Linked DNA regions of Rattus norvegicus. The protein of the gene in region 6 interacts with the protein of the main gene of each other region in a biochemical or structural test. Links are inferred from orthologs where the notes say so. Each region holds a gene or a part of one and is shown on either strand. Other genes may lie near its edges.

Region 1 (4,370 bases), on a different chromosome or scaffold from region 6:
AGGGGAGAGAGAACAAAGACTGTTTAGACCCACAGGACCTTTAATGGAGATTTAAGAGACCCGATTGGTCCTTCTCCAGTACTCTACGTTTGTTCTATGGTCTCATTTCTTCCTCTCATTATTTTTGGTTTCACAACGGGAAACGTTGATTTCTTGTTCAAGGCTGGTTTTTGAAAATTCGACACTTACTATCCAATTTTTTTGCGACGTCAGCACCTCGGGCTCAGGGGGGAGGGGTAAAATTTTGGAGGAAAAAAAATAAAACAACCAACCAGGACCCAAACTCAGTTACTTGTGGGGCCTCATTGGATCAAAAAGTCTCTTAAAAAAGTAAAGACCAACTCAGTTTTCATTTTCCCCCCACCCAACTCCATTAGGGAGAGGGGGTCGTTGAAAAAAATTCTGAGTGGACTCCAAAAAGGAAATGCTGGATGAGTGAGATTGGGTGGGTTTGGGTAGGGAGGGTGGTTGATTATTTTTGAAGTTATGTGGTGACGGTCCTTCGGCCACAGATTTCAAGTCCCAAGCAGCGTGGGCTGGTGGGGTGGGCAAGATAGGTGGGGAGGGGCAGAAGACACAAGTGGTTGGGCTGGTGGCTGCTGTTTTCCCTTTCCCCCCTCTCTCAGGATCCTTTCAAGGGTTTAGATGTTGCTGAGGCTTGTTTGTTTTCCTGATGGCCGGCCTGTCTTTCTCCGAGAAAATTCAACCTGGGGTAAAAGGAACACAAAAGGAGAAAGATGTCATCAGTACGGGTCGCCTTTAAACGTTTCAAAATTCCTTGTTGTCCCAGGATGCAGCCGCATTAGGTAAAAATGCGGCTGCCCAGTAAATCCAAAAAACACCCCACTTCCCCGGCCAACCGCTCTCGGCAAAACGTTACCCTCAAAGCGACGGAGCACCCAAACTTACCTCTAAACGAACCCCAGAATGGCGGCCGCCCGCTCGGGCGGAGTCTTTTATACCCGGCCACCGCCCAACGCACCCTAACGTGATGGAGAACCGCCCTCGTCGTGACACATTGTGCGCGAGGGGAACGCTGATTGGCCACAGTAAAAGCCGGGTCGCCCGCGGATTGGACGTCCCTCCTCCACTTTCCTGGAGTCCCTTCCCTTAATCCCCTCTTCCGTCTCCTTCGGATCACCTCGGAGCCAGCGCGTGATCGCCGTGTCCGGCACCTCCCCTTCCTCTGCCCCCAACACTTCCGCCCGGGCAAACGTGTCTCACCCTCGGTTGGTCGAAACGACCGTACGCATGCGCACTGGGAGCACCTTAGTCAAAATCGCAATCAAAATTGCTTTCGTGTTAAACACTAACCATGGAATTTATGAGCCATCGTGACTGGTCCGGGAGAAATGCAATTTTGAACGCTAGTTCGATTGTGACGCAGTTTAAATTCGCGTCCCTCCGCGGACCCCGCCCTTTGACGCTTCCGTCCTTAGGCACGTGAGCTGCCGCCTTCCGCCTTGCGGGGCAGGTCCTTGGCCCCGCCCTAGTCCTTGTCCGGCGCATGCGCAGTCGTTCTTCCGGCAGGCCGTACGTTGGATGTGCGACAAGATGGCTGCCTCCTTGCGGCACACGCTGCTAAGGCTGTATCCTTCACTCTTACGAAGTTCCTATGTAGCTCAGGTAAAACGTGGAGGAATTTCTCTGCCGACCGGTGGTGTCGATACTTTCAACCTTTGCTGCATTACGATGAGTTAAGGGGCACGGGTCTTCCCATATGTTTACGTGTTAGATCTGCACCACCCTCTGTTCCCACGGCGCGCGATTTCTTATATTTTTGGTTGTGAGCCTAGCCTTTAACGGCTGAGCCATCTCTCCAGCCCACGGCGCGCGATTTCTAAATACTGAGCGTTCGGGTCAGAACCAGGGTTACGTGTCATCGTCTCCCCCCGACTACCATTAGGAAAAAGAACTAGGTGGTGGGGTTACCCCAGTGGAAATGAGCAATTCATAACTAGATCGTTAGTACCTGAAGTGGTACCCAGAAAGTGTTTTTGTAGCAAAGGGCCTATTTTAAGATTTTCCCCCCCGTTGTTCCGGAGACAGTCTAGGTTGATCTCATAGGTGCTCCCTGAGCTTTCTACCTCTGGTTCCCAGGTTATGGAATTAAAAGCAAGATACACCACTCCTACTCCACCTTTTCACACATCATTTTCTTATCAGAGCATGCGTGAGAGTCTAATTCTGCTCTCTAGATTGAGATTGCCCTTTAGCCTGAGGTACTCACCACCCTGGAGGTTCTTGGCAGGGCAGGGAGAAATAGGAAGGCTTGTCCGGACGCCACTCCCTAAAATGGGACTACAGAGTGGTGACAGAGGTTACCACCGAAGTAATGACAGGCTTGGTGGCTTTAAAGCTAGCGTTAGCACTCACATTTGTTTTGCCCTGTGGAATGTTGACGCAGCATTTTATGAAACTGGTCACCGAAGTGACTTTGGATTTTTCTCATCGATTTGAATCACCCCTGCTCCCCATGAATCTTACTTCCAAAGGTTTGGACATATTTTTTCCCAGTAGAACCAACTAATGCTCAAGCAAGCTCAGATCTTAGTATGCCAAGGTTTTTAAATCGTTACATCCCACTAACAACCTCTACCTTGCTGGCTTATCCTACAGGATCTGATTGGGGAGCCTAGGTAGAGTGGTTGTCAGTTTAACAACAACAGAATTGCTACTTTCTTATATCTTCTTGCCAAGTTATGCTGATATTTTTGTGCACACGCTCCAACTCTCCCCAAAGTATGATAAACCAAATAGTTGCAGCCTTTTCTTGGAACTCCTCCTCCTTTCACTCCCTTCATAGGTTCCCCTCCAGACTCTCTGCACCAGAAGCCCACCTGAAGATGCTTCATCCTCACTTCCCGTCTCCCCTTTTGAGAACGAACCTTGGAAATACCTGGATTCAGAAGGTACCCAAGTTTGGTGCAAAGGAGAGGAAGATGGGGCTAAAAGATCCCTTCCATTCTCGAATGCATAAGTAAACTCATCTGGTCTTTATTTCAGAATACCAGAACCGCTATGGCTCTCGCCCTGTTTGGGCTGACTACCGCCGCAACCACAAAGGTGGTGTGCCACCACAGCGGACCCGAAAGACATGCATTGTAAGTTTCTAAGGTTCTCATCTTGGTGGGGCATGAAGAGGAGGCCATATTGAAGATAGCATAATTCTTTTTTTCCCACCTCTCCCTCCCCCCCTCCCCCCCACAGCGTAAGGATAAAGTGGCTGGGAATCCTTGCCCCATCTGCCGGGATCACAAGTTGCATGTTGACTTTAGGGTAAGGAGAATCTTTTATCCAGAATTAGAATTTGTGGCCTCTTCACAGTGCTAAAGAGATTGTCTGAAGTGTCTCACAGTCTTCTGTATCCCTGTACCCACAGTCTTATTTTTCAGTGGTTTGTCAGTGTGAAAACACCCCTTTTGAGCTGGATTTGGTGGCACACGCTTTTAATCCCAAGTTCTCAGACAGCCAAGTCTAAAAGTAGACTTGGTTAACATATATCTATAACCCCATCCACACTGGCAGACTGAAGCAGAAGTGTGAGTTCCAAGTTCCAGGCCTTCTCATAAACCTACACTACGTATTACAGAAAGGGAGGAAAAGAAAGCTTATTTCTGCGGGGATGATGCTCATAAGTTAACTCAGGAGGTAGGATGAGACAGTCTAAGTAGCCCGAGTACCTTCAGACTTAGGCAGCTGAACTGAGACCACACCTAGGTCACAGGTTAATTTTTTTTTTTTTAAGAGTAGATTTATTAAGGAAAGACCTCCAAAGACAGGGAGAGTCCGAAGATCGTTTACAAGTGTTTCATCCTGTCTTGGTGGGCAGAGCTTCCTTCATTTCCCTCTTTCGAGATGGCATCCATTTATGTAGCCCACACTAGCCTCAGCTCACTGTCCAGTCTTGGCAGGCTGAGTTGTGAGAGCTCAGGTGCGCACCACCTTGCCTAGTTGTCCGTATTCTTTGTCCTCCCAGTGTCCAGTGAGATGCTGGGACCTGGGGCCAGAGGACTGAGGTACAGAGTACAGTAAGGTCCTCTCCCATCCCCTCCCCCCACAAAAGCAGCCTTTAAAAATGATGGGGCTTGCTTCTGAGTGAGTGCAGGAATTGTAAAGATGCTCAGAGGGGCCAAAGCTGGGTATACAGCGTGTCAGGGTGTAGACGAAGGTGCTCGTCCTTCAAGCACATCACAGAGGGCCACAATGCCTTCCCAGGCTGTGTGCCTGGCAGGTTACAGTGACTGGGCTGGGCACCATGGCAGGCGGGTGAAGAGTAACAACCAGTTCTGTAACTCCACGCATGGATTTGCTTTTTTCCCTGCTCACCTCCTGTGATTGGTGTGTTTGGTTGTCTTACGTAATTAGAA
Region 2 (3,871 bases), on a different chromosome or scaffold from region 6:
CACTTCACCAGCTCAGCCACATTTCCAGCCCGATTTTGTTTTGGTTCTTTTTTTGTTTTGTTTTTCCAGATAGCATTTCTCTGTGTAGCCTGGCTGTCCAGAAACTCATTTTGTAGACCAGGCTGGCTTTGAACTCCCAGAGATCTGCCTGTCTCTGCCTCCCGAGTGCTGGGGTTGAAGGTGGGATTGAACCTCCAGACCTGCTTTTGGTTTTTGAGACAGGGTCTTTAACTGTGTCATCCGGTTGTCTGTGAACTCCTTTCATCCCTAGTGTTGAATTCCAGGTGCGCCACCACTGAGCTTAGTTTTTCTCTTTCTCCCCTTTCCCCTTTTTCTGTTTGAAACCAGGATTCAGACGATTCAGACTATGTAGCCTTGGCTAGAATTCTTTAAATCGATCAGGCTAGACTCAACTTGGATCTGCCTGCCTCAGCTCATACTAGCATTAAAGGTTTGCAGCACTGTGCCTGGCTACAAAGCTTCGTTATTGTTCTGATGCTTTTTCACTGCTGGATCGGGAACCTAGGGTCTTCTGGGCCCTAGGCAAGCGAGCTCATCCTAAGCCACGCCCCCAGGTTTGTTGGCTGCTTTGTGGTTGGTGCAGTCTGTAAGCTAAATCTTTAGTCTGTGCCTTTCTGAAGCTCATCCTTGTGCTCACACAAGAACAGCTCTGTGCAGAGGGCCAGCTCCACAGACGTAGCTCCTCAGAGCCTTGCCTTGTCACAGAGAAACAGCGAGTGAATGCTCACAGATGATTTAATACTTGCAACCCCAAGGCACTTGGACTTGGGTGATTCTGCAGTGTTTGTGTGTATTATCACAAGATGGGACCCTCATCTTGAAATGATGCTCACCAAGTTCAGAGTCTCCTGCTTCCGACACAGCCGTCCAAGCCAGACTGACTTTGAATTTTTGGTTGTCCTCCTACCTCTGCCTTTCAAGTGCTGGCATTACAGGCGTGCCCGCCATCTCTGGCTCAGACAGCATCTCTTATTTGTTTGAAAGGAGCAGAATGGCAGTTCTTGTGTGCTTGTGTGCTATGTATTTTTCATGCTCGATATTGGGATTGTGGGGTTTTGGTTAACAATACTCCTGTGGGGTTTTGGTTAACAATACTCCGCCTAACAGCTCAGTAGTGAGGAGAGGCTGGGCCGCAGGGGGAGGGGATCAAGGAGTGGGAAATGGAGAGACAGAAATGGCAAAAGCAGAGTTGCAGTCAGAATGGAGGCCTGACGTGGAGGAGGAGGAGGCAGCCGCCTTGGGTGTGCTTAGTTTGCCTGAAGGTTCACCTGGGCCTGAACTGAGCAGGCAGTAAACGTAGAGGCCATAGTGGCTAGTGGAGAATCAGGGCTAGGATGTGACCAGGCTGGACACAAGTCCTGGGCTATATGTGGTGGAAGGAGCACCCATTGGCATCGCAGTAGGCATTAAACTCCTGGGTGCTCTGATGTTGAACACATCATGGGCTGAAGTACCTAGAGCCATTTGAGTCAAGATCCCCCAGTGTGGCTGTGACTGTCCTCCCTACCAGTTGGATGGTGACTGTTCTCTCTCTGCCGCAGGAGATTGGTTCCCATAGAGGATTCTGTCTGCCAGTGATCTAGAGGGCTAGGCCCTCACAGGCAGGAGAACCTCCAAGGGGCCATTTGAAGCCTGCCCTGTAGATAGCTGTGAGTCTCACTGTGGCACCCTCACAGCTGAGCCCAGGCTTTCTCCCTCAGTTGAGTTTTATGGCCACCTCCCTGGTGCGGGAAGATGCTGAGGGCTTGCAACCTTTGTGCTGGAAGCTGGGAGACATAAGGGACTCTGCATTGGCTGAGTGACAGGCCTGGTACTACGGTGTTCTTTAGTCTGGAGAGTAAACTCCAGTTTCTGATCCCTACATAGGGCAGCTCACAGCTAACCGCTTACAGCTGCAGCTTCAAAGGAACCCTCTGACGTTACCGTGTGTGCTTGTAGTACAGGAGAGGGGAGTGAGAGTCACCATTGGGTGAAGACCAGTGTTGGCAAAGACCAACATGGCCCTCAGTGTTGGGTTGGGTGGTAAAGTGATGTCTGTTGTCTGTTCAGTGTGTATTGCAGTCGCGGTCACTTGTGTCCTGTCGACACTGGTCTCATTGAGAAGAACGTTGAACTCTACTTTTCTGGTGTTGCCAAAGCAATTCATGAAGAAAATCCGTCTGTGGAAGGTAGGTGAAATGTTCAAACAAGGGTTGTTTCAAGAAGCAAGCAAATTTGGAGGCAAGATATCCCATGGGAGGTACTGCTTCAAGGGAGAGCTCAAAGTTCTGCAGAAAGATCTTGGAGAGGCAGCATGCCGGCTGGGTCTTCCTGGCAGGGATGGGAGGTACAAGTCGCCATGTTTAGTCTGTTTCTTATAGAAAGACTTTCCCACAGGTGGTGTTAATGGCAAGAACCTGGGGCCAATCAATCAGTGGTGGATCAGTGGCTTTGACGGTGGCGAGAAGGCGCTCATTGGCTTTTCTACCGGTGAGTGTCTGCAGTCACAGGTGTCCTGGAGCCTCCTGGCTGCCTGGGCTCAATGGGCTTTGTGCAGAGGGGTCATTAGCATTGGCGGGATCTGGTGACTGGCGTTCATCGTAACCGGCCTGGAAGTGGATCCTCTGGTTGTACAATAGTCAAATGCTTACAACTTGAATGGGTCCCAGCTCTAGCTAAGTTCCCTTTTCTGGCCCGAGTGGTACTAGCTAATGGAGAAGTTGGGCTTTTGGGGTTTGGTTGTGGGTTTTTTGTTTGCTTTGTTTTTTTGGTTTTTTTTTTTTTTTGGTTGTAGGATAAATTGTAGACTGTTCTGTTCTGGAAACTTGGTAGATTCATGCTTGCCCTGTGTTCATCTTGGAGGCCATCAGTTTTGAGATGGCCTTAAATTTTTTTCTACACTTACTATGTGCACCATAGCATGCATGTGGGTCATATAGGACAACTTGTAGTTGATCTTCCTCTACCTTGTGAGTCCCTAGGATCAAACTCAGGTTGTCAAACTTGCAAACTGGCACCCTTGTCTGGTGAGCCATCTCATTGGCCCTGAAACAGCTGTTTTTAATGTTTTACCTGCTGGACAAAGCTGATACCTGTTGTCCTAGATACTCAGGAGGCGGAGGAGTTTAGGGCTAGCCTAGGCAACATGGCAAGACCCCATTATTTAAACCAAGCAGCTGTCTATATAAACAGGTAAAATGCTAACCATCCTAACTGGACTGATCATCCATATTCTCTAAAAAACCCAGGTCATATGTTTTCTTCCCAGCATTTGCTGAATACTTTCTGATGGAGCCCAGCCCAGAGTATGCACCAATATTTGGGCTGATGCAGGAGAAAATTTACATCAGCAAGATTGTGGTCGAGTTCTTGCAGAGCAATCCTGACGCTGTCTATGAAGACTTGATCAATAAGATCGAGGTGGGTGAGAACTTTGCCTTCTCTGGTAGGTTTGGATCCACATAAAAATCTGCACAGTCTTCTGTTACCACTAGAAGGGTTTTGATTGACGGATGAATGAAGCAGGCTTGGGGGCGTGGCTCGGTTGTAGAGCCCCTGCCTAGAGTTCCTCAGTGAGGGGCTGAGGCACATTGTGGCTTAATGGTACAGTCGTACATTGCTTGCCTAGCCTGCATGCTGTACTAGGCTCTCCATCCCCTAGTGTTACAAGGACGCGAAATACTAGAAACATGATCTTTTCTTCCCCTACAGACCACTGTTCCTCCTTCTGCCATCAATGTGAACCGGTTCACCGAGGACTCCCTCCTACGCCATGCCCAGTTTGTGGTGAGCCAGGTAGAAAGTTACGACGACGCTAAGGACGATGATGAGACGCCCATCTTCTTGTCTCCCTGTATGAGGTCCCTGATCC
Region 3 (4,549 bases), on a different chromosome or scaffold from region 6:
GTCATCCTTAAGTATGCTATTAAAGTTCACTTACAAACATGTTACTATGTAAGCTTACTTCCTAGATTGTGTAACAACTTAAGAAATTAAAGACTGAATTTCTTCTTTGTCCCCATTTAAGTTACTATGATCAGAAGTCATACTTTAAATGTCCCTAAAACCTATCAGAAGGGATAAGAAACCCTATAACAATATACTGTTCCAGGTGTAGGTTCTTTTCCTCCTCACTGATTCCCCACCCAAAGCAGGACAACTTTACCAGACCAATGACATTCACACCATTTTTACAGCCTCTTGAAAGTATATCCGTTAACGATTTAGTTATCATTTAATTGACATGTAGTTTATCTTGACAGACTAAATCTTCCTGCAGATGTAGGCCTGAAAACGTTTATCTATTATACTTCTAGTTCAGTTTTGTCACCAAATGGAAGGAAGCTAAGGCCCACTCCCTGTTCCTAGACTACTTCAGAAGCCCTCTTACTCCAGCTGCCCAACCTGGAAAGCATCATATTGCTTTTCATGATTTTTTTCTCTCTTGAGGCCCAGAACCACTTCAGCTCCCTATGGGTCCTGGCTGTGAGGAGAAATTACAGGGCTCAGACGAAAAATACCACCTCCAGCTGTTTTGCTTTAACAAGATGAAGTCAACATAACGGAGAGAACGGCTGAGGATACTTCATCTAAGGTATCATTTGGTTAAGAACGTTTGGCACAGGGATGGGTCAGTGCCCAACAAGGAGATCAGGATTTCTCAATTAGTTTTTCCCTGTGAACTACAGCCTCCACGAAGCATCGCTAGGGTTGAGTGCGACCTATGCGAAAGTTTCTCCCAACAGAAACTGGCTGATCCTCACTCACTTTGAGAGGGATGATGATAGATTAATTTGTTTCTGGAATCTGCATTTAACTACTATGGCTCTTCAGAAGGGCAAACCACTTATCCTTTTAAAGCCTCTGTTGGAACTGGAAAAACTAAGAAATGTATTATGGAAATGTAAGAGCTCGAATTCCACACGCAGCGAATGGTAGACATTTGGGTACCTACGTACACTACAGTCCCTCACATCCGACCAAGCAATTGCGTTGGGGACAAGCAAGCTACTGCTCTATGGAGTGAATTTGTCCTCAGAGTATCCTGGGCCCCTGAAGTATACTGACTGCTTTGCTCATGTTTTCGTATATTATGCAAAAAACACTTCTCAGAGTCAGAGTCTGAAATAGGACCCAAAGCAGTCGGAGATTTCAGTAAGGTAGTCAGGGCTTCTGACTTGAGGGAGCAAGAGTTAGGCGGAAGAAAGGCCTCGGTTCATTTGAGAGGAAGTAGAGATTGCGAGTGCGGGGGTTTAGCCCTATTTTCTCCGGCCGGAGCTCTGACTGACAGAGGCGTCTCCCTGAACGCCCACCTTTGTGACCCTGGAATCAGGCCTGGCCTAGAGACCTCTCTAAATTTACCTCAAGCAGTGCAAGTCGGCCGGAGGCGGCAGATGGTGGAGGCAGAGATGGCGGGAACCAGAACTTGAAACCCCCGCGAGGGGGCGGGGCCGGAGGGGGCGGGGCTCTAGGGTGAGCCATCGGTGGGCGGGGCCTGCGCTGCCGCGGCTCGGCTGCAGTCCTGGCGCGCTGGAAATTAGGGTTGGGGGAGGGGATAAAGAGAAGGAGGAGGAGGTCGAGGGGGCGGGGCGTGGGCGGGGCGTGGGCGGGACCGGCGGTAGGCTGCTGATGCAGTGTTGGTGTTGGTGGGATCAAAGCTTAGTGTCCTGAGGTGCGGAGCTTGGAACGGTACGGTGAGTGTCTGCTGCTTTCGCGCTTTCCAGGACCTGCGTTGCCACCGGGAGCCGGCGCTCTGTCGCCCAGTCTGCAGCTCCTAGGAAGAGGCGGGGGAAACGGGCGATCTGGGCGGAGGATCCTTTGTGTTGCCTCCAGGCTTGCTCAGGCAAGCACTGAAGGCAGAGAAGCTGGAAACAGCGCCGGTAGCGTGGTCTGGAGCTGGGAGCCCAGACCCGGGAGGCCAAGCTGGTGTCCCTAAACCTGGGTGAACCGGGGCAGGACTCAGACCCTCGAATATGGCGCAGGGGCCGCGCCGAGGCGCAAAAGGCGGAGTCCGGGGATCCGGAGATTGCCCTGGGCACCGAGCTTCAGGGGTGGGAGGGGGTGAGTCCATAGTTGGGGTGAGCCTGGGAGCCGTGTGGCTGGAGGTGGCGGGATCCTGGAGTTGCAGGCTGAAGTGTGGACTCCGGAGCAGAGGATGGGTAGGGGAAGTTCTGCTCTGGGGCCTGAAGAATAGGCTGATGCTGACCTTAAGGCGGCTCTAAGGGACCCAGCCTCCCTGTTACAAGAGTATTTGGTCTCTACCTTTGGTCTTTTCCAGTGGCATCTTTGGTTCTTGTGGAGAGCTAATTTTAAGCATTGCTCCTCCAACTCTCTTTCTTACCCTGAAGCCTTTCGTTAAATACTCCACCTTATTCCTTTGTTGGTCAGTCACTGTAGGAGCTTGCATTGACATCTCTTGGACCATGCACAGAGAGCTTGTCCTTACTTCACACTTATTAGTTGGTCTCCTCTGAAGTCCGACTTGAGCAGCAGGGTCTTTACCTCATTCTTAGTTGAGTCACCCAGGAAACCCTTCTCAGGGACCTTCTCAGGACCCAACTTCCGCTGTTAGTCACTGAGCCTTGTAGACCTATGAATCTGACAGATTTATACCTGGCTGACCCTTCTGAGTCTTGTGGACTTTCTAGGTGTCTGCCAGATTGTTACCCACCTCAGGGAACTGAAGCAACCTCCTTGCAGGTTTCTGCCTCCCCCCCACCCCCCAAGGTTCTTCTCCAGTGCACTCCTTAAAACATAAACAAAAACAGTTTTCTAGCTGTTCGTGTTTACCCTTAGGGCTTAAGGGTAAAAGCCTATCCTCTAACCGGGTTGGCAAAGCCAAACCCTGGGTCTTGACTGTCTTCCCCGTTTTATCCTTTAATCACGTGTCCTTTTGGTTTTTCTTTGCTCCCTCAGTGCACCGTCTCACCTTTTCTCCCCACTGATACATTTGTCTATGAATAGGAGCTGCTTCGGAGGTTTCAGTTCTTAGTTAACAATTCAAGGTTGAATCTTCCCATTCCTTCCTTTGGGGCAGGCATTTCCTGAAAGCAGCCTTGTCATTTCCTCTACTTTTGCTTGTTTGTTTGCCTACAGAACTGTGAGCAAACACTGCTAGGCACTAATTTTAGCATGGTGCCCTTCCTTACTGGGTTTTTTGCACAAGTGATTGCTCAACCATTTGTTTTATTACAGCAAAATGGTTGATTAAAATGTGGATTAGGAGATTTTGGTGGGTGGGAAATGTGGGGCCGTTGTTACAGTTTGAGTATACAAAATAGCCGAGGAGATGCTAAACTGGGGGTGTGGCCAGCCTTTGGGAAGCCACTTTGGATGTGTTAATGGTAGAGCCCTGTCACAACCCAGTGTTGAAACTTTAAAGGCTTTGATTTGCTGTCCAGCAGAATAAGGCTTTTGCAAAGTGAGAATGTGTTTTAATTAGTGGAAGTTTATTGAAGCCTAGCAGTTCAACTGGTACAAAGTAACAAGTGAAATTCTGCACCTAATTAAATCAGATTGCTTTGTGGTCCTGCAGAAAGTTTCTGTCTCCTGCCATTTTAAGTAAGAACCCTATATCTTTATCTGATCTGAGTGGTTCCAGTGCCACTCTATGGTTTCAAACTTAGCAACATATTCACTTCACCCGCTTTCTAAAGTTACAATACAGTCTTTTCTTCAAACACATTGCATTAGTTCTGGTCTTCCTGTCAGATAATACTTAAAGTTCTACTCCAGTGATAGAGGTTGAAAGATGATGTGGAAATTTTTACATTCTTAAGTACTGTTTTATATAGTCTTTTAACAGATTAAAAAATATTTTTGGAGAGGAAAGAGTATTCTGTCATCTGACTGTCTGAGGCCAGGACCTGGGTGCTTACCTGCTCCTTCATAAAGAAAGCATAATCTATATAGCTCACAGGGTTTTGTAAAGATCAGATGAAATAGTATGTGTGACAATGTTTTGTTAAGGGTGACATTCTCCATAATAGTTCTTGTTTTGACCTCTTTGTTTTGGTCTTCAATATTGCCTGGAGAGCTTCATTCTGCTAAAGTACAACGAAATTATCTAATAAGGACTAAATGTGGGCTAATTAACATCTGCCTTGCTGCTGTTTTTAGATACCAGCAAACAAGAATATAAGCTCTGTATAGGGATAGGGTCTGCCTCTTCCACTACTTAATACGCTGAGGGTTCAACGGTTGATATTCAGTAGATTACATGGCTATCTGTCATTTTTATAAAAGACATTAAGGATCTTCCACTCTACTTTTATTTCAACAACAACAACAAATTGTTTTCAAACAGGTCAGTAATTCTTACACATCCCTAAGAGCATATAGGTTTATCCTCTAAAGGTTTCGCTTGGGAGAGGACAAGACAGACCCTTTGCAGATAGTAAGCACCACATTCTTTCCAGCTTGTGCCTCAAGGTCAGAGAGCTTCCTTAGACGAGAT
Region 4 (4,594 bases), on a different chromosome or scaffold from region 6:
GTGACAGCTAGTTAAAGAGGTGAGTCTTAACATGAAAGGTGTATTTTACTGGAGGGTCCCCTTTGATTATTTCAATTCTTTTCTTTTTCAGTCATTCTTTCAGAATTTCCATGCATGTGGGGTCTTCTTCAACCCCCTCCAATAGCGTGTGCTCTCTCTTGTCCTCTCTCCAACAACCTCTTATCTATGTGAAGACAGCCTAACGGCCATAGACATTTCTGTAGATGTCTTTGTAAACATCTTCCTTAGGTCCCAACTAGGTTCTTAAGCTCCAATCCTGGGAGAATGAAAAGAAGTTTCCTAGAAACAACCACCAAGATCAAAATGAACGCAGAAAGCTCTAGTCTCTAGAACAAAGCTTGTCCCCTCCCAAGCCTCTCTGTCTCTAGTAAGGACTTGCCAGGTTCAGAAGGAGTTAGCTGAGCCCTTCAACAATCACAAGGACAGTTTGCTTTCTTGGAAGATTTCCAGGAAGTCTCATAGGCTGCATGCCTTCACCAGTCAGAGCACCTTGAAAACAAACAAACAAACCTCATCTGGTCCTGGGTGGCTTAGCAGCATCTGTCCCAGCAGCAACCAATATGTTCCTGAACCCCATATGTCATCTTCATATTTGAGGACCGAGAATTAGAGGATGCAACATGTAGAAGTTCAGTCATACCGAACAAGGAGTTTTTTGCACTTCTGCATCCAGTGTGGGTTGGTGGAATGCTTTGCAAAGCCCTCTTCACAAGCCGCTCAATCAGATGGCTTTGAGTCCACACTTTTCTTGGAATCTTCTGCTTCTGGTCGGTTGAGACAGTTCACAGCTGGTAAGCCTCTGGTGAACACATCAATTAATACACTTAGGCAGGCTGATGACCTTTGCTTAAAGTCTTTGGGACTGTTTTGGGAATTTAGGGGTGGATTTTTATTTTTAAGCAAAAGCAGTAACAGAATATTTATGTATCTATGTATATGAAGATATATACATGTATGCATATACACACGTATATATCTGATATATATGCATATATGCATATACATATACATCCGGTGCTCACATATATGTGAGTACATGTATGTGTGTGTATAAATACTTTCATTATTTTTCAAAAGAAGTTAACCAATTATGTAACTCAGTTTGCTGATTGCCTGTCGCCTCCGCAGGTACCAGGGTTTGCAGTATTCAAGATTTGCCTTTTTTAGACCCCTCTTTGTAGTTGAACCCCACCCCCACCCCCAGACTCTCCCTTCACACGTGGCCAGGTCACCGGAGCAGTGACCTCAGCTCAGAATCTCTCCTTATGCCCTCTCAACATCCAAGTCCCAGAGGCTCCCCGCGTTCTTTCCTCTTCCCTGCACCCGTGTGTGCCCAAAGGAAGACCTCTCACGGGTGACTGGGGCACCTCGAGTTACGCTACAGGCTCCAAATCTCTCCCAGCTCCTTTTGCCACAAGCCTGGTGCCTGGCCATCCTGGAAGGCTAAAATGTGGCCCAGCCAGCCGCTGCTCGGGATCGGGAGCCGGGAGGGCAGGCGTCCTGGAGAAGGAGATGGGGAAGGAGAGCGAGCCGCGCCCTCGGGCCGGCCAGGAGGGCGCCACGGCCGCAGCCCGAGGGCCCCGCGTCGCTCTCCCGAGCCAGGGTTCTCGGGAGCGGGCCGCGCAGGAGACGTTAGCGGGAGGGGTTCGTGTCTGTTGGGGGAACCGGTTCCTGGGGAACAGTCCCTTTCAGGGCGGCCACAGTGGTCAGGCCGCCATCCGCCCTCCCTGGTGACGCCGACCAAGGGGCGCGAGTGGCGACGTGCTGTGCGTTGCGGTTCGGTGTGCCTGGCACCCCTGGCTTTGCGGCTCAGGAGCCCCGGGCTGCGCGGTTGGCCGCGCCCCGCAGCGCCCCGGGGGCCGAGCATCAGCGGACAGCGCTGCAGGTGAGCGGTCGCCAGGGCGATGAGGCTTCGGGCGCACGCCCGCCGCGGTTGGCATGGAAGCGGCTCTGCTGGGCTCGGGGTGGCTGCTGATTGGCTGATTCAACAGACGCGGCTGGGTCGAAAGTCCTCAGTGGCGAGCGCACTAGTCAAGGCCGCTGGAGCCGACGCCCCTGGAATCCCTCCACTCCGGGGTCCCCTCCCTCTGCGCACGGCCCCGCCCTCCCCGCCCCGGCCCGGGTGCGCTTGCTAATCGCCCAGAGAAGAACCTGAGAAGCAGGGCCGGCTGTGGGTTCCCAAGCAGGTTTGGGGGACTTACTTCTGGAAAGAAGCACCTGCTTATCGCTTGGGAAGGAGACTCATCTGTCCCCAGTCAGGGATCCTGGATTTAGCCCCAGATCAGGAAGAGGGTGTGGGGGAAGGAGGATCAGGAATCATAGGTTCTGCTTCCCCCTCCCCTAAATTAATGTGGGCAGAGAATCGTGAGTGGCGTTTGGGCAGGCTCTCTCTCTGCAACTTTAAGACTGGGGTCATATTAAAGCCCATTCAACCATTCAACCATTCAACCATTCAACCATTCAACTATTCAACCATTCAACCATTCTGAGTTAGTTGGTTGTTCTGATGCGTGAGCTGTCACTTGGGACCTTAATGTTTGTTGAGAAGTTGTGACCTCTGGGGCTTGGCACTCTTTTTTTTTTTTTTTTCTGCATTTCTGGATCCCCAGGTTGAGAAGTAAACTAACTGTGTCTCCTTCTTTTTCCGGGATAGCAGCAGGCTGTGGCTTGCTAGGCAATGCGTCGCCACAGCTCGAAGAGTGGAGTCGCACTGCCTCCAGTGGGCCAAGGTCCTGATGCTTGTCAGATGCTCACCCGAGCTCAGCTTGGCCAGGATCCCCCACAGAGAACCGTGCTAGGAGTGTTGACTGAAAATGAGCAGTACAGGAGGGCCTGTGGCCAGGTAATGACCCAGGAGCACCAGGAAATACTCTACGGAGAAGGGTTGGCAATATACTTGTGTGTGTGTGTGTGTGTGTGTGTGTGTGTGTGTGTGCGTGTGTGCATGTAACACCAGGAAAGATGCTGCAGAGAAAGAAGCCTTGCTGCGTGTGTGTGTGTGTGTGTGTACAGTCATGCACCCGTGCCTGTGTGTCACAAACGCTGGGAAAGATGCTGTAGATAAAGAAGGCTTTCTGTGATAGTGTACGTGTGCGCACATATGTGCATATGTGTGTGTAGCCTCCCCCATGAAGAACATATGTGTAGGGACTGTTTTGGGTTAAGTGACTCGAGGGCTAGCCAGAAAGAATGCAATTACGCTGTACGATAGCCCTGGAGATGCTCTGGGCCAGAAAGGTGTTCAGGAGGAGCTAGGCCACCACGAAGTAATCAGGGAGAGCTTATGCTGTGCTCCGTGGGCACACTGTGTGTGCCAGGATACACCAGCTTACTTTATAAAATAAAAGTTGCTTCTAGAGCTCACATCTCTACCACTGCAGACCAGGAATGGACACTGGGATAGTTACATACTTGTCTGCTCCAAACCAACTATAGGATTTTTCACTGAAGACAGGAATCCAGACGTTTAAGAGAAGAAATCTGAATCTGCAATGATGGTTTTTTTTTGAGATAGAAAATAAAATCACCCCCACCCCCAGCCTGCTACTAGACATAAGGATGCTTGTACTCCGTATTGCGAGTCTATGGAACCCAGAGCTGGTGCTTACAGGAGTCCAGTCTGGAAGTACCAAGTGTTCTGGTAGAGGCTCCTTTAGAGGCCCCTTATCACTTCCTTCAAGGCCACTGCCTTTTGTAAGGACTTGATCCACTGATGTCAGAGATACCCAAAATGATCCTTTTAATAAGTGACAGGAGTTTAAGTAGAACTTGATTAGCAATGTTCGTTCTTTAAACTTACACCCGAGACCTGAATTTATGAATTGGAACTGGTGTCTGTACTAAAATGACCTTGTTTCATGTTCACACCGGTGCTGCCTGGAGCCACTGCTTGGTGGCCCCTCTACACTCCACCATACACACCCTCTGCTGCCTGATTCCCATTCTTTTTTAAAAAATCTGTTTGCATCTTGGTTTTAAAATAATTTGATTTCCGTATTACTGTGTATGTACAACCGTACATGCATGCTGTGTGTCTGTGAGCATGCATTGCCACGGCATTCATGTGGAGGTCAGAGGACGAGTTTGGAAGCTCCTTCTCTCCTTCCGGGGCTTGAACTCAGATCACCAGGCTTGTCAGGGAGTGTCTTTAACTCCCAAAGTCATCTTGATTCCTTAATCTCCATAAGTCCTGTTCCTTCTGAATAAGGAATAAGATAATCTGATTTCTCAGAAGTATCCCATAGTCTGAACCTTCTCTTTTTCCCCACTCCAGGAGGTAGGGGGAGTCTAGCAAAGCTGGCTTTGAACTGACATGTAGCTCTAAATGGCCTCAACTTCAGGCTCCTCCTTCCCCAGCCTTCCTAGTTCTGACACTGCAGGTTTGTTGTCTTTGGGTTAGCAGCTGCAATTCCTAATGCTTCCCTGGGCCATTCCCATGCTGTTCTGTTACTGCTGTGTCCCAGCTCTTGCACCTATGCGAAGCCCCTCATGGCTTCCTGGCTTTCAAGAACTTGGCTCTCCAACAACTTCTCTTTCTCTTCTCTTTGCTCTGTCTCATGTACATCAAACATGT
Region 5 (4,473 bases), on a different chromosome or scaffold from region 6:
GGGTAGGCTTTAATTTTATAGGGCTTAATCCAAAGTTTCGCCTGAAGTTTAATCATCTGCTGTTGAAACCAACAAGGTTTGGAGAATATGGGATCTGGGGCTCAACCTGCTCATGACATCGTGCACAAATCCTCTCAGCAGCCTGGGACACCCCCGGTTTGCTAGTCGGGACCTGTGGGAAGGGCACACCCCACTTTGACTTCCAGAGACAGTCACTTACCCTGAGGAAAGTCCCCAGAGGTATCAGACCCTGCCTGCCTTCTGCCTTATACACTTTAACAAGTTGAGTACAGGTCTTTGCTAGTAGCCATTGTGTTTAAAATGTCTTTCTCAGTAACTTGTATGCTCCACAGACCTGGGTCAGTGTGGGATGGGAGATAAACATATATATATATATGTTTTACGAACATAAGAGAAGTGACCCTTTTAATCTAGAGCTCGAACAAGTCGAGAAGGGCCAAGAGGATAAGAAAACAGAGTGAAGAACAAGAGATTCAAGGAAACAAGTGCTTTGCCATAGCAAGGCAGCGACACTGGACACTGGAGAGGACGTCCTGGGGAAAGGTATGCTGGAGAGGAAGTGGTTACCATAGGCCTTCAAGTTTTCCGGAAACACAAACAGCTGGAATGGGTCAGGAGAGAGTACTGCAAGCACTGGGGCTCTGGGGTGAGAAAGGGCACCGAATACTGGATCCAGCAGCTCAGGCGGAGGGCTGAAGGTCAGGTCTGGGTGGCTGAGGGTCACTTCACGTTGTGAGGCATGTGCTTATTCTGAGGTTGATGAAAACACGTGGAGTAGAATTTTATGCTGGAGACTGCCTCACCTCATGTGGACCTGAGGGTCAGAGAGGCCTATTGCAGGCGGGTTGGGCTAGAGGCACAGAAATGTGCTTGGATAGCCAAATGAATGAATGGATCTAGAGACACTGACAGATTAAAGGACCTGCTGCTGGTCCACATGAGATCTAACAGCAGCAGCCTGAATGCTGGTTCCGGTCCCAGGAGCTGTTGTGACCTTGGGGACACCCACGCACCGGACTCGGCCCGGAACTCTGTGTCTCAGGGGCGGGGAGGACGAGCCGGGAAGGACAGTGCGCGCGCGCGGGAGACAGGCGGACGACGGGTTCTGTACGCCCGGCCCTCAGGTGCATCACTGCGGTCAAGCCCGGCCGCCGATTATTGCAATCTGCCGAGGTAACATTCCACTTGCGCGGCCCACGCGGCTCCTCGCGGCCCCGCAAGCTCCTAATCCTTCGGGCGCTCGCGCCAAGATTCTCCCGCGTCAGCGAGCCCGCCCCGCAGCCGCGCGCGCCACTCGACTCTCCCGCGTCCCGCCCCGATCAGGCCCCGCCCACCACGTCCGCACCACGCCCCCGGCGCGCAGGCCCTGACATCTAGCCCCACCCCTTTTGTGCAGGACACGCCCATATTAGAACACGCCCTCTGGGAAGCCCCGCCTCAACCAGAGCTCTTCGCTGGTCCGCGCGGCGACGGGGCGGGCCCTGGGCCTGCGGCGGCCGCTGAGGGGCTCGCTGCCCGCGGGGCGGGGCGCGAGGGCGGGACGGGGCCGGTACCGCGCGCTGGGATTTTTAAATGTCCCGCTCGAAGCCGGGCGCAGGAGCAGCCGGCTCGACAGCTAGCGCGGTGTAGGGGGCAGGCGCGGATCCCGCCAGCGCCGCGCGCTCGGCCGCCGCCTCCCGCCTCCTGCTTCCCGCCTGCCGTCGGCCTCCTGTCCGCTCGAGCGCGCCTGCCTGCGGCGGACACAGCTTCGGGTACGGGCTGCCTGGATTCCCGGGACTCCCTCGACTCCCAGGTTTCCGGACCGGGTCCGACCGGACCGGGCCCGGGTGGGGGTGGGGCGAGACCCGGTCACCCGGTCCCCTGAGGTATCAGCTCGGGGTGCCCCGGCTAGGGTGGCTGTGAGAGACGAGTCAGGGGGTAGGTGTAGAAAGGGACACTGAGGCAGCCCCGGCCCCGAGGGCGGTGATGGAGCGGGGGGTCCTCTCAAAGGTCGGCTAGGCCTCCATCCTCAACCTCAGGTTCGGACCCAGGGTCGCAGGCTGCCGGGGGCGCCTGCGGGTGACAAGCCACCCGGGCCCATCGGCCATTTTCCCGGCCGGCCTCCGGGCCCGGGAGGCTCCCGCCGCCGCCACCGCCGCCCGCGCGGGAGGGGGGAGGGGTGCCCGGGACGAACTGGAGGACTCGGGTCCCCTCTGCGGGCCGTGCTCACCACGATGCCTACTTGATGTCCTCCCAGGTCTGAGTTCCAAGTCCTGAGCCATGCCAAGGGAGAGGAAGGAGAGGTGAGTGGCCTCCCTGCTGCGGGAGGGTAAGGGTGAGTAGCGGTGGGGGAGGGGCAGAATGAGTTTTGGGGGAGCAGCACCCCATGACACCATGCCTTTGCAGAGACTCGAAGGACCACAGCAACATGAAAGAAGAAGGTGGCTCCGACCTCTCAGTCCGATCCAGAAAAAGGAAGGCAAATGTGGCCGTTGTGAGTACAAAGGATACAGGTTGGGAAGGGGACCCCCCCCCCCATTTCATCTTACCTGGGTACCAAATTTGGGTCTTCTCACCTACTAGTGAAGAGGATTAGTTGATGGGGAGGTTTCCATTAGTTGAATGCCGTTCAGAACCTAAAAAACTTTTTTCCCTCTTTTCTCTTGTGTTTTTGTCTTTGGGTTGCACCGTGTGGACCCTTGGTGAACTGGGAATTTTTTTGTTTTTAGTTTTTGCAAGATCCGGATGAAGAAATTGCCAAGATTGACAAGACTGTGAAAAGCCAGGATAGCAGTCAGGTAGGTCTGCTGCCTACAGGGTGTTCAGCCTCTTGAGTTCCATGCTTTCTTTCTTCCAAGTTTCCCAAACCAGAGCCACAGGCCACATGGCTGAGCCTCTGGAGCCTGTCAGTGTGGCCTGGTCTCTGTTGGGCCTGGGGTTGTGGGAAGGGTTTGCATTTCCTGAATGGCACCTTGAAGGTTACAGGTACTGATTGATACCTGGAGGAACCAGAGTGAGTGCCATATAATTTGTGCTTTCTAAACCCAGGGGAAACTGAGTCTTAGAACCCAGAATCCTTTGCAAGCCCAGAGCAGAGCTGGGCCTGCAGTCTTACTGACAAAGGCTAGCTGGGGGATAGGACTCTCAACTATTTCTCCCTCATCCATACTTGGGACTTCTCTTAATCCCAGCAGCAGAGAAGCAGAGGTGGGCAATCAGGGTTCCACACCAGCCCAGACCATATAGTAAGATCCTGGAGCAAAAAATAAAAAAAAAACTTTTCTCCTATGTGGCCCAGAATGTTCCACCGTCAGCTGACTGCATTGATTACCGCTGTCTGGACGTTTACATGGCCTCAGCAAGGGTCTGTGATGACGTGTGTCTGAACCAGTATTTCATTGGCCGCTCCACTTCTGTCCCCTCCTGTGGAGCGCTTGCCAGATCTTTCTAATGCAGCATGGTATCATAATTTCAGAAGATCCTTGCAGAGAGAGCTTGTATTATCTCTTTGCCTCCAGAGATGGCTGGAGACTATAGTTATGGCTCCAGTGGGGGGAGCAGCCTATCTCCAAAGTAGTTGGTGAGACCTTCAACCTTCATCACAGATAAAGCTGAGCAGGAACAGTATTCTGTTGACCTCATCTCTCTTCTCCCAAAGAGGCTAGCGGTGACTTTGAGAGCAGGGAGAGACAGCTGGTTCTGAAGAATGTCTTCTGGGCAATGATGTTCCGCCAGCTAGGGCTGCAGTAATGTGTGTTTCTAGGCAGAACCCCACTAGACATTAAAGGGTCAGGTTTTCTTCCTGTTCAAAAAAAAAGTAGCCCCAACAGAAGGAAAGTGCATCTCACATTCTTTTTTCTCCCATCATTTCCCTTAAAACCTTCAGCAAGTTGTTATTAAGATAAACCATGCTTTGTAGAATTCAAGATTGTTCGTGTTGCCAGCTGTGCTTTGAACAGAAACGTCCAAGTGAGAGTGAAGCTCAGCCATCAGTGTTGGCGTTGTGGAAATTCAGGCTCACATCTCAGGAGTAACAGCAGTGCCCAGAGTGTCCAAGAAAGGACTGGCTCCTCGTCTGCACTGTGGGGATGAGGGTCATAGCACATGAGTGGAGTCCAGTCATGAGAAAGTGTTCTCATGTTGAATTTCTAGAGTAGATAGCTTAAAAATAACTATTTTTTTTTCTGTGAAGATTCATAAAGCCAGAATTTGGGGTGGGTAGTTTTGTCTGTTTGGGTTTTAATTGCTTAGAATTTTTTTCTGGATTTAAGTTCAGCCCAGTGACAGGATTCATACTAAATTCAATAATACTGAAAGCCCACAGAGACCTTTGGTTCTTATCTTCAGCTACTATTTTTGTTTTTAAAACGGGATCCCAGGCTGGAGAGATGGCTCAGTGGTTAAGAGTGCTGACTGCTCTTCCAGAGGTCCTGAGTTCAAATCCCAGCAACCACATGGTGGCTCACAACCATC
Region 6 (3,871 bases):
TCCAGCAAATATAGGCAACTGCTACACACACCTGGCAACCTGGGTTCCGTCACCGAAACCCACATAAAGATGCACAGAGAGAACAGACTCTACAAACTCTTCTCTGACCCTCGCATGTTGGCATGGCATGCAAGCAACACTCGCCCCAATAAATATAATTTTATAATGTGTGCTTATAAATAATAAGATTTTAATTAGGATTTATACTGGTATATAGTAAATGCTACTTTTATGTATCCTATAATCAGAGATACTTATCCCATTTGTCTTCATTTCAACCACATTACAGGGGTTGAACCAGGCTGTGTATGTGTAAGCTAGAGCTCTATCACTAAGCTCCATCCCAAACCTTCTTTGGCCTTTCAGACAGGGCCTCACAGAGTTGCCCAGCAGGCCTTGAGCTTGTGATTCTCTGGCTTTGGCCTCCCCTCAGCAGCTGAGATTACAGGTCTATGTTACCAGACTTAGTTATAACTTATATTTTTGATAATCAAGTTGAAAAAGTATTTCTATATGTAGCTCAATAAAGAACTAGTAGCTATGTAAATTTTATTGTCTTCCATTTCTTTAGTAAGTGACATCCTTCCATGTATATTTGATCAATCAGAATACCTAAATATGTTGCATGGTTCTCTAAAGCCTCATCAGTGATGTGCCAGTTAGGATGTTCATGATTTGACTCTTCCCCAGCTAAAACGAACACCAATGCATGCTGGGCATGTTGCCTCATCCCTGTACTTGGGAGACTGAAGCAGTGAATTTGAAGTTATACTGGGCTACATATTGAAGATATAGTTTCAAAGAGAAAAAAAATTAAGAATGTCAATGGGGGGATAGGAACTTGGAAGAGGGGAGGGTAGCAATAGGAATGTAAAAAGAATAAATTACTAAATTAAAGGGAAAAAAGAATAGCAATACAAAACTGCTTCTGATTAAGATCAGCAAACAGCCATCATTTTTATCATAATGTGGATCACTTATCACTATCAGAAACTTCCGATATACATGCCATGTCATGCAGCAGCATGGCACTCTGTGAATTTACTTCAGACATGTGTGACATCTTGGCATGTTACAAGGTGAGCTGAGGCTACCTGCACACAGACATCAGCTACAAAGAGCATCATACAGAGAGAGGGATCTAGATACACACAGGAGCTTCCATTCATGTTCTTCTACAACACTTGAAAACTTAATCACAAGTGTACATTATTCATGTAATTAAATACACCATACAGATATCTGCTTAAAAGGTAATAAAGCTCTTCTTCTCGTTTACTTTCTTGCCCACCAGGTGCAAACTACATGTACTGAAAACTTCTGATGAGATGGCATTAATTATATGAGTTAATTGGACTTCTACTTTAAAAACATTCAGCCAGTTTCAAGTAGCCTATGATAACACATAATTAATGTAGTGAAGGACTTCAAAGCCAGAGACATGATTTGTCACTGCACAGAATCTTTCATCTGAGAATTTAATACAGCTTCATGTTCATTTTGCTTGAACCAGTGTCTTTCTGAAACAGAAATGTCCGATGAAATGTAAGAAATCCACCAGTAGAATTAAGAAAGGTGGGTTTTCCTGACAGTAATCTACACTTAGTAAGATATCTTCATTTTAAAAACATACTTACTTACTATAATTACTGTGTGTGAGAGTGTGAACAAGCATCTCAAAGTCAGAAGCTGGTTCTCTACTACTTCTATCCAGAAATCAAACTCAAGTCATTAGTTTGTGTGGCAAGTACTTTTACGGGTGGTACATATTGCCAGCCTTGATGACTCCATTTTCAAAACAAGCAAAATACTAAGATGCATACAGTTTCCAGTACATTTTGAATAAAGATTCTGGGTATGATGGTACACACATTTAATCCCAGCAATCAGGAGGTAGAGGCAGGTGGGTCTCTGGATATGTACCCTGCCTGGTCTACTTAGCAAGTTCTAGGCCAGCCTAGAGCTACATAGTGAGACCCCGTTTAAAACAAAACAAACAAACAAACAAACAAACATGTTAACCTAAAATGCTCTACATTGATGGCTTATAAAACTACTAGTGTTGAGGCACACATGAATACTGACTGGTTCTCAGACTATACACAGAAGAGACCTAGCAGCTGGGTAAGCACAAGTAATATACAAGCCCATCCAAGCACACACCTTTTCTTTGCCCCCCCAATTCTTTTCACATATTTACTTAACGCACATAAAGAAAGCAGACATCCAACAGCCTATCCCGTTTTGAACTTTAAGAAAGCTTAAATCAAAATTGTCAGGTTCAGCATTACTGTTTTCAGCATTCCCTTAAAAAGGAAACACCAACCTTGATCTTGGAGTCATTTTTGTGGGTGTTGGCAGACCTTCTGAAATTTTATAAGGACTCTTTAGGGGTGATATATAGATGTTACCTCCAGGAATCCGCAAGGGTGAACTAGAGAACTTGTAAGGGCTTCGAGGAATGTGAGGTATTGGTGACAAGGTAGGAGGCTAGACCCAAAACAAAAGGAAAAAAGATCATTGAGCTAATGTTTTGGTGGGATCCATTACTTTGTCATTAGATTTCTCCAGTTAAAGAATATTTCAACATACCCTGGTGGAGGCATACTGTAAAATATTTGTTTTTAGTCTCTGCATGAAAACTGAGTTGTAGAACACTATAATGGAATCAAACTCCTCTTCTCTGATCAAAACACGTTTAAAGGTCTGAGGAAAAAAAACATGTTAAATAAATTTAAGAACTTCTCTTTAACTTTTCTTTTAAAATAGTTGTACATAGTTTTATTTAAAAAACACATTTTATACAGAAAATAATAATCTACAAAGGCTCCCTTAGACTAAAATTATAGATACTCTAAATATTTAAAGTGACCAAGCTGATCCAGAGAAGGGGCCTGGAAGCCACAGACAGATGCTGGCCACTCTACAAGGAAGGTAGGCTGTGCTTACCAAAGCCCGGCACCATCACCACTACTACACAGACAGTATCCACTGGCCTGTAGCAGCCTTCAACCTCTCATCTAAAGGGTTTAGAACATGGACACCATGCTCTTGCAAGAAACAGACATTGTAAGTAGATTTTACGAACAAACCCATTTTTATTTTTATAAGCAGGGTCTAGGTTTGCAACTTTGTCCTTGTGATATCTTCTTCTCACTTATCATTCTGAGTAGGAATTATAGATCTGAGATACCAGGTCCAACTTGTATAAATGTTAACTTGGTAAAACTAAAGAAATTTTATAGAGTATCTCTGTAAAACAATCTATATAACTAATTTAGAAAATAACTCCCAATATATGAGTAAAACCAAACTGGTTTGTATCACTTTCCAAAAATACAATGACAGACTGAAACAATAACCCAGGATTCACTGTGCGTTCCAGGACAGTGTAAAATGTGTGTCAGACTAAGTGTGATTACCATGATAGCATCTCTGTGGGAGAAAAAACTAGAGACACAAAATGGGCTTGCACTGGGAAATTTTATATCTTTATAGGGATTCACTTACAGTATCTTCTCCTGTGAAAAATAAAAACTAATATATTATGTCAAAGTTAATTTCAAATATCCCAGTTACTACTATATAAATATAGTATTATTTATGAACAGCAACTATGGATTTAGATTTCATAGTTTGCCATACTTTTATACTTCAGTTACAAATAATTATAAAATTAAATAAGAATATATAATCTCTATTTAACAACTGAAGCAAACTATGAATACTGATTTATTTTTCAAAGTCTTACCATGAGAAACTACCTACCTCCTGGGCAGCGTGAGGAAGATCCTTATACGCAGTTACGATGATTTTGAATTTAAGGTCAATGTTTTTCACCTTGCAGATGCCATACATAGAACACATCATA
Region 7 (2,750 bases), on a different chromosome or scaffold from region 6:
CAGTTTGTGAACAAGTTCAACGTCCTGTATGACCGACAAGGCATCGGCAGGCGGATGCGGGGACTGTTTTTCTGATGAGGGCTCTTGGAAGGGATGCTGTATGGGGCTCAGACAACTGTGCCACGGGACTGAGCACTTTCCCCTTAGAGAAACTCACTAATAAAGAACAGCCCCTTAGCAGCCCTTCCAGTGGCTTTGTCCTCTCAGGCACAATGGTTTCTCACCTGGACTCTTCAGACAGGACCCACTTATCTTTTAATGACTCAGGACCCTTGTAGACAGAATGTGATAGGACTGCCTGCTGACTTTCCAGTTCTTCCTTGTTCTGTCCTCAACTTCTCCAGAAAATGACTCCAGACAAATGACTGTTTCCCCAAGCTAATTTCACTGAAAGTGAAGGGAGTATAGGAAGGGGAGGGATGCCAAGCCCATCTTAATAATTCTGGGTAACCCAAATCCTTGTTTTCCTATATCCCGGAGGCACCTCGGGGGTGATGTGTCATGTGGGGGTCTAACAAACCAAAAATCCATTCCAAGGCCTTATACCTCCAGCTTGACTAGCACTTAGGCTCAGAAAGCATTAACAAGCCAGACCCAAGCAGGAGGCAGTCAAAACACTTTATTGGCAGAATAAAAAAGTGCAGCATGGGAAATTGTCCTCTCAGGGGGCATCACGCAAACTTTCTGGGGTAGGCAGTAGGGCTCAAAAACTGGCTGTCAGACAAAGGTGATCCGTGTCCGAGAAGTATTGACCTGCCAGACATTTAGCTCCTCATATTCATCCAGAGCTGCCTGGAACTGGGCTGGTGTGAAGCCACGTGATATGCAGCGCTGTTCAGCCTCAGAAAAGCGGACACTCCGTCCCCCTGATACCAACTCACGGACGGTAGCAAATATCACATCTGCTGGCCTCTGGGTCCTGAAAGACAAGGATGGAAAAGGTTAAGTGCAAGGCCCAGTAGCCATCAGCACCAAAATCCTGAAGTCAAACTTGTCCATGTGCAGAAGCCACAAAAGTGACCAGCTCAATTATGTCAGGTAGCCCAATTTCATTAAGACACTCACCTAGCCGTTTGTCCCTTTTCACCCAGAAGGGAGTCCTTTGACATCTCCATCAACCTTATGGCTTCATTCACATCTTCCTTCTCCACAATATCTACCATCCGAAGGCGAGCCTAAGGGGAAGGCGTGGGGAAATAGGGATAGGAGGGGAGGAGGGGTGAAACCAAGGATCTCTGCTCTGGCTTCAAACCCGGGCAAGCCACATTCGCCTACTCATAGAACAAAAGTGGGTTCTTCCCTGCCCCCCACATCTGCAGTGTTGGGCCGGCACTGTCAGACCGAGACAAGTGCAATGCCCAGGGCAGCGTCCAGCAATTGCCCGTGTCTCCGCCTCTCAACACTGGCCAGTCCCGGTGGGTGTCCTGCCGTCCTGTGAGGGAGACCAGACCCTTCTGAACTCCACTAGGCTCCCCATCGTGACAAGTGGAGCCTGGGGTGCTCAGCTAGGGCCACTGTCAGAGGCTGTGTCCTGGGGGCTCGGGAAGTGCTAGCTCAGCAGTAGGTCAGGCAATGCACTACCTGCACGAACAGCACTTTGGAGCCCCCATGACTAAAGGTCCAAGAGGGGAGGACAGAAGGAAGACTTCTAAGATATCTAGGGCATCAGGAACTCAAGTCCTTCCAACCCCCTCGTGGATTCAAGCAGCCTTTCCCTCCGTGGGTGTTGCATGTGCCCTGCTGGAGCAGCAAGTACCCACAGTGCGGTAGCACAGAGAGGACCACTATCTGCACTGTCAGCACTTTAGTCCCAGCAGGGCTGGTGGGAGGGAAGAAGGCAGCTTGAAGGACATTAGGTGAGGTGGCAGGCAAGGGTCAGCCTTCTAGCAGACAGGGACCCAGCACTCACCAGAGCAGTAGAAAGTCGGAGAATGGCCAGCAGGGTCCGGGCAGAAGTGTAGGTGGCATCCTTACTGGCCCGGGCCTCTCGCCTCATCTCCACATACGCTGCAGTGATGTAGTCAGCCAGAGAGTCAGGCACTGTGGGCTGCCTCTCGCGGCACATGGCAATGTACCGTCTGTGGGAAACAAGGCTCATGGGAAAGCGGAAGACATGCATGCTTTATAGGAGATTTCCTACTTAATATTCTATGCTGGAAGTGGACAACTATTTGCTTAGGCATAACTGAGGGACTTCTCTAGGCTTCCCAAAGCAAGACAAATGCACCTGCATTGGGCAGATTTAACTCCTCTGAACTTGTCACATAAGGGGACAGACTTCAGAGGCCCAGAGAAAATCAATTTAGAAACCTGCAGATTTGTGAGGTGCTGAGTCATCTGTGCTATGGAAACAGACACGGCCAAAAAGCTATACCTGCCTAAGACAAGAAGAAGACAGTAAGGGAGACCCTTTTATATATGGGGGAGGCCAGTAGTTTTTGGAGACACCCCTAAAAGATCTCTAAAAGATCCCCTTGCCTCAGGATGCACAGCAGCTAAGTTTACTTACAGCCTGCTGCTGTCACCCCAAACCAGAAAAGTTTCTGATGATCCCTTGCTTTGTGGCTAAAGACCCAGGCTCAGTATTCTCAGGCTCAGCTACTTTGAGGGAGGAGGAAGTAAATACATTGTCCTCTGCAGACTGAAAGCTTTTCAGACACACTTGGCATAAGACAATGCCACACACAAGTATTCCCCTGAGACATCCCCATCCCTCTCACCTCATAAGTTTCATGTCCAAAGGTTCAAAT

What was found.
Region 1: the proteins of Rb1 (region 6) and Mrps18b form a complex in vitro, tested with the Homo sapiens proteins (2 studies listed by BioGRID and IntAct). The link is inferred for Rattus norvegicus from reciprocal best matches to the Homo sapiens genes RB1 and MRPS18B.
Region 2: the proteins of Rb1 (region 6) and Dnmt1 form a complex in vitro, tested with the Homo sapiens proteins (2 studies listed by BioGRID). The link is inferred for Rattus norvegicus from reciprocal best matches to the Homo sapiens genes RB1 and DNMT1.
Region 3: of the proteins of Rb1 (region 6) and Casp3, one has a biochemical effect on the other in vitro, tested with the Homo sapiens proteins (2 studies listed by BioGRID). The link is inferred for Rattus norvegicus from reciprocal best matches to the Homo sapiens genes RB1 and CASP3.
Region 4: the proteins of Rb1 (region 6) and Ccna1 form a complex in vitro, tested with the Homo sapiens proteins (2 studies listed by BioGRID, with this or other methods). The link is inferred for Rattus norvegicus from reciprocal best matches to the Homo sapiens genes RB1 and CCNA1.
Region 5: of the proteins of Rb1 (region 6) and Ccne1, one has a biochemical effect on the other in vitro, tested with the Homo sapiens proteins (9 studies listed by BioGRID). The link is inferred for Rattus norvegicus from reciprocal best matches to the Homo sapiens genes RB1 and CCNE1.
Region 7: the proteins of Rb1 (region 6) and Mcm7 form a complex in vitro, tested with the Homo sapiens proteins (2 studies listed by BioGRID). The link is inferred for Rattus norvegicus from reciprocal best matches to the Homo sapiens genes RB1 and MCM7.

What each region holds. Positions count from the first base shown.
Region 1 is NC_086038.1:2,841,483-2,845,852, forward strand, and holds the start of Mrps18b (28S ribosomal protein S18b, mitochondrial), read left to right. Parts: upstream 1-1,523; 5' UTR 1,524-1,542; coding exon 1,543-1,626; intron 1,627-2,806; coding exon 2,807-2,912; intron 2,913-3,006; coding exon 3,007-3,104; intron 3,105-3,210; coding exon 3,211-3,279; intron 3,280-4,370.
Region 2 is NC_086026.1:27,731,789-27,735,659, reverse strand, and holds part of Dnmt1 (DNA (cytosine-5)-methyltransferase 1), read left to right. Parts: intron 1-2,070; coding exon 2,071-2,189; intron 2,190-2,397; coding exon 2,398-2,490; intron 2,491-3,268; coding exon 3,269-3,420; intron 3,421-3,711; coding exon 3,712-3,871. UniProt on the Homo sapiens protein: Methylates CpG residues. Preferentially methylates hemimethylated DNA. Associates with DNA replication sites in S phase maintaining the methylation pattern in the newly synthesized strand, that is essential for epigenetic inheritance.
Region 3 is NC_086034.1:52,410,925-52,415,473, reverse strand, and holds the start of Casp3 (caspase-3), read left to right. Parts: upstream 1-1,741; 5' UTR 1,742-1,782; exon of another isoform or gene 1,783-1,787; intron 1,788-4,549. UniProt on the Homo sapiens protein: Thiol protease that acts as a major effector caspase involved in the execution phase of apoptosis. Following cleavage and activation by initiator caspases (CASP8, CASP9 and/or CASP10), mediates execution of apoptosis by catalyzing cleavage of many proteins.
Region 4 is NC_086020.1:141,390,364-141,394,957, reverse strand, and holds the start of Ccna1 (cyclin-A1), read left to right. Parts: upstream 1-1,657; 5' UTR 1,658-1,906; intron 1,907-1,995; exon of another isoform or gene 1,996-2,207; intron 2,208-2,674; 5' UTR 2,675-2,698; coding exon 2,699-2,863; intron 2,864-4,594. UniProt on the Homo sapiens protein: May be involved in the control of the cell cycle at the G1/S (start) and G2/M (mitosis) transitions. May primarily function in the control of the germline meiotic cell cycle and additionally in the control of mitotic cell cycle in some somatic cells.
Region 5 is NC_086019.1:99,925,063-99,929,535, reverse strand, and holds the start of Ccne1 (G1/S-specific cyclin-E1), read left to right. Parts: upstream 1-1,626; 5' UTR 1,627-1,772; exon of another isoform or gene 1,773-1,886; intron 1,887-2,257; 5' UTR 2,258-2,280; coding exon 2,281-2,303; intron 2,304-2,406; coding exon 2,407-2,494; intron 2,495-2,729; coding exon 2,730-2,798; intron 2,799-4,473. UniProt on the Homo sapiens protein: Essential for the control of the cell cycle at the G1/S (start) transition.
Region 6 is NC_086033.1:54,789,530-54,793,400, forward strand, and holds part of Rb1 (retinoblastoma-associated protein), read right to left. Parts: coding exon 3,769-3,871; intron 2,707-3,768; coding exon 2,593-2,706; intron 2,491-2,592; coding exon 2,327-2,490; intron 1-2,326. UniProt on the Homo sapiens protein: Tumor suppressor that is a key regulator of the G1/S transition of the cell cycle. The hypophosphorylated form binds transcription regulators of the E2F family, preventing transcription of E2F-responsive genes.
Region 7 is NC_086030.1:22,155,317-22,158,066, forward strand, and holds the end of Mcm7 (DNA replication licensing factor MCM7), read right to left. Parts: coding exon 2,721-2,750; intron 2,079-2,720; coding exon 1,910-2,078; intron 1,819-1,909; exon of another isoform or gene 1,737-1,818; intron 1,615-1,736; exon of another isoform or gene 1,528-1,614; intron 1,433-1,527; coding exon of another isoform or gene 1,397-1,432; exon of another isoform or gene 1,182-1,396; intron 1,176-1,181; coding exon 1,066-1,175; intron 920-1,065; coding exon 718-919; 3' UTR 605-717; downstream 1-604. Other genes in the region: Cops6 (COP9 signalosome complex subunit 6), read left to right, coding at 1-75. UniProt on the Homo sapiens protein: Acts as a component of the MCM2-7 complex (MCM complex) which is the replicative helicase essential for 'once per cell cycle' DNA replication initiation and elongation in eukaryotic cells.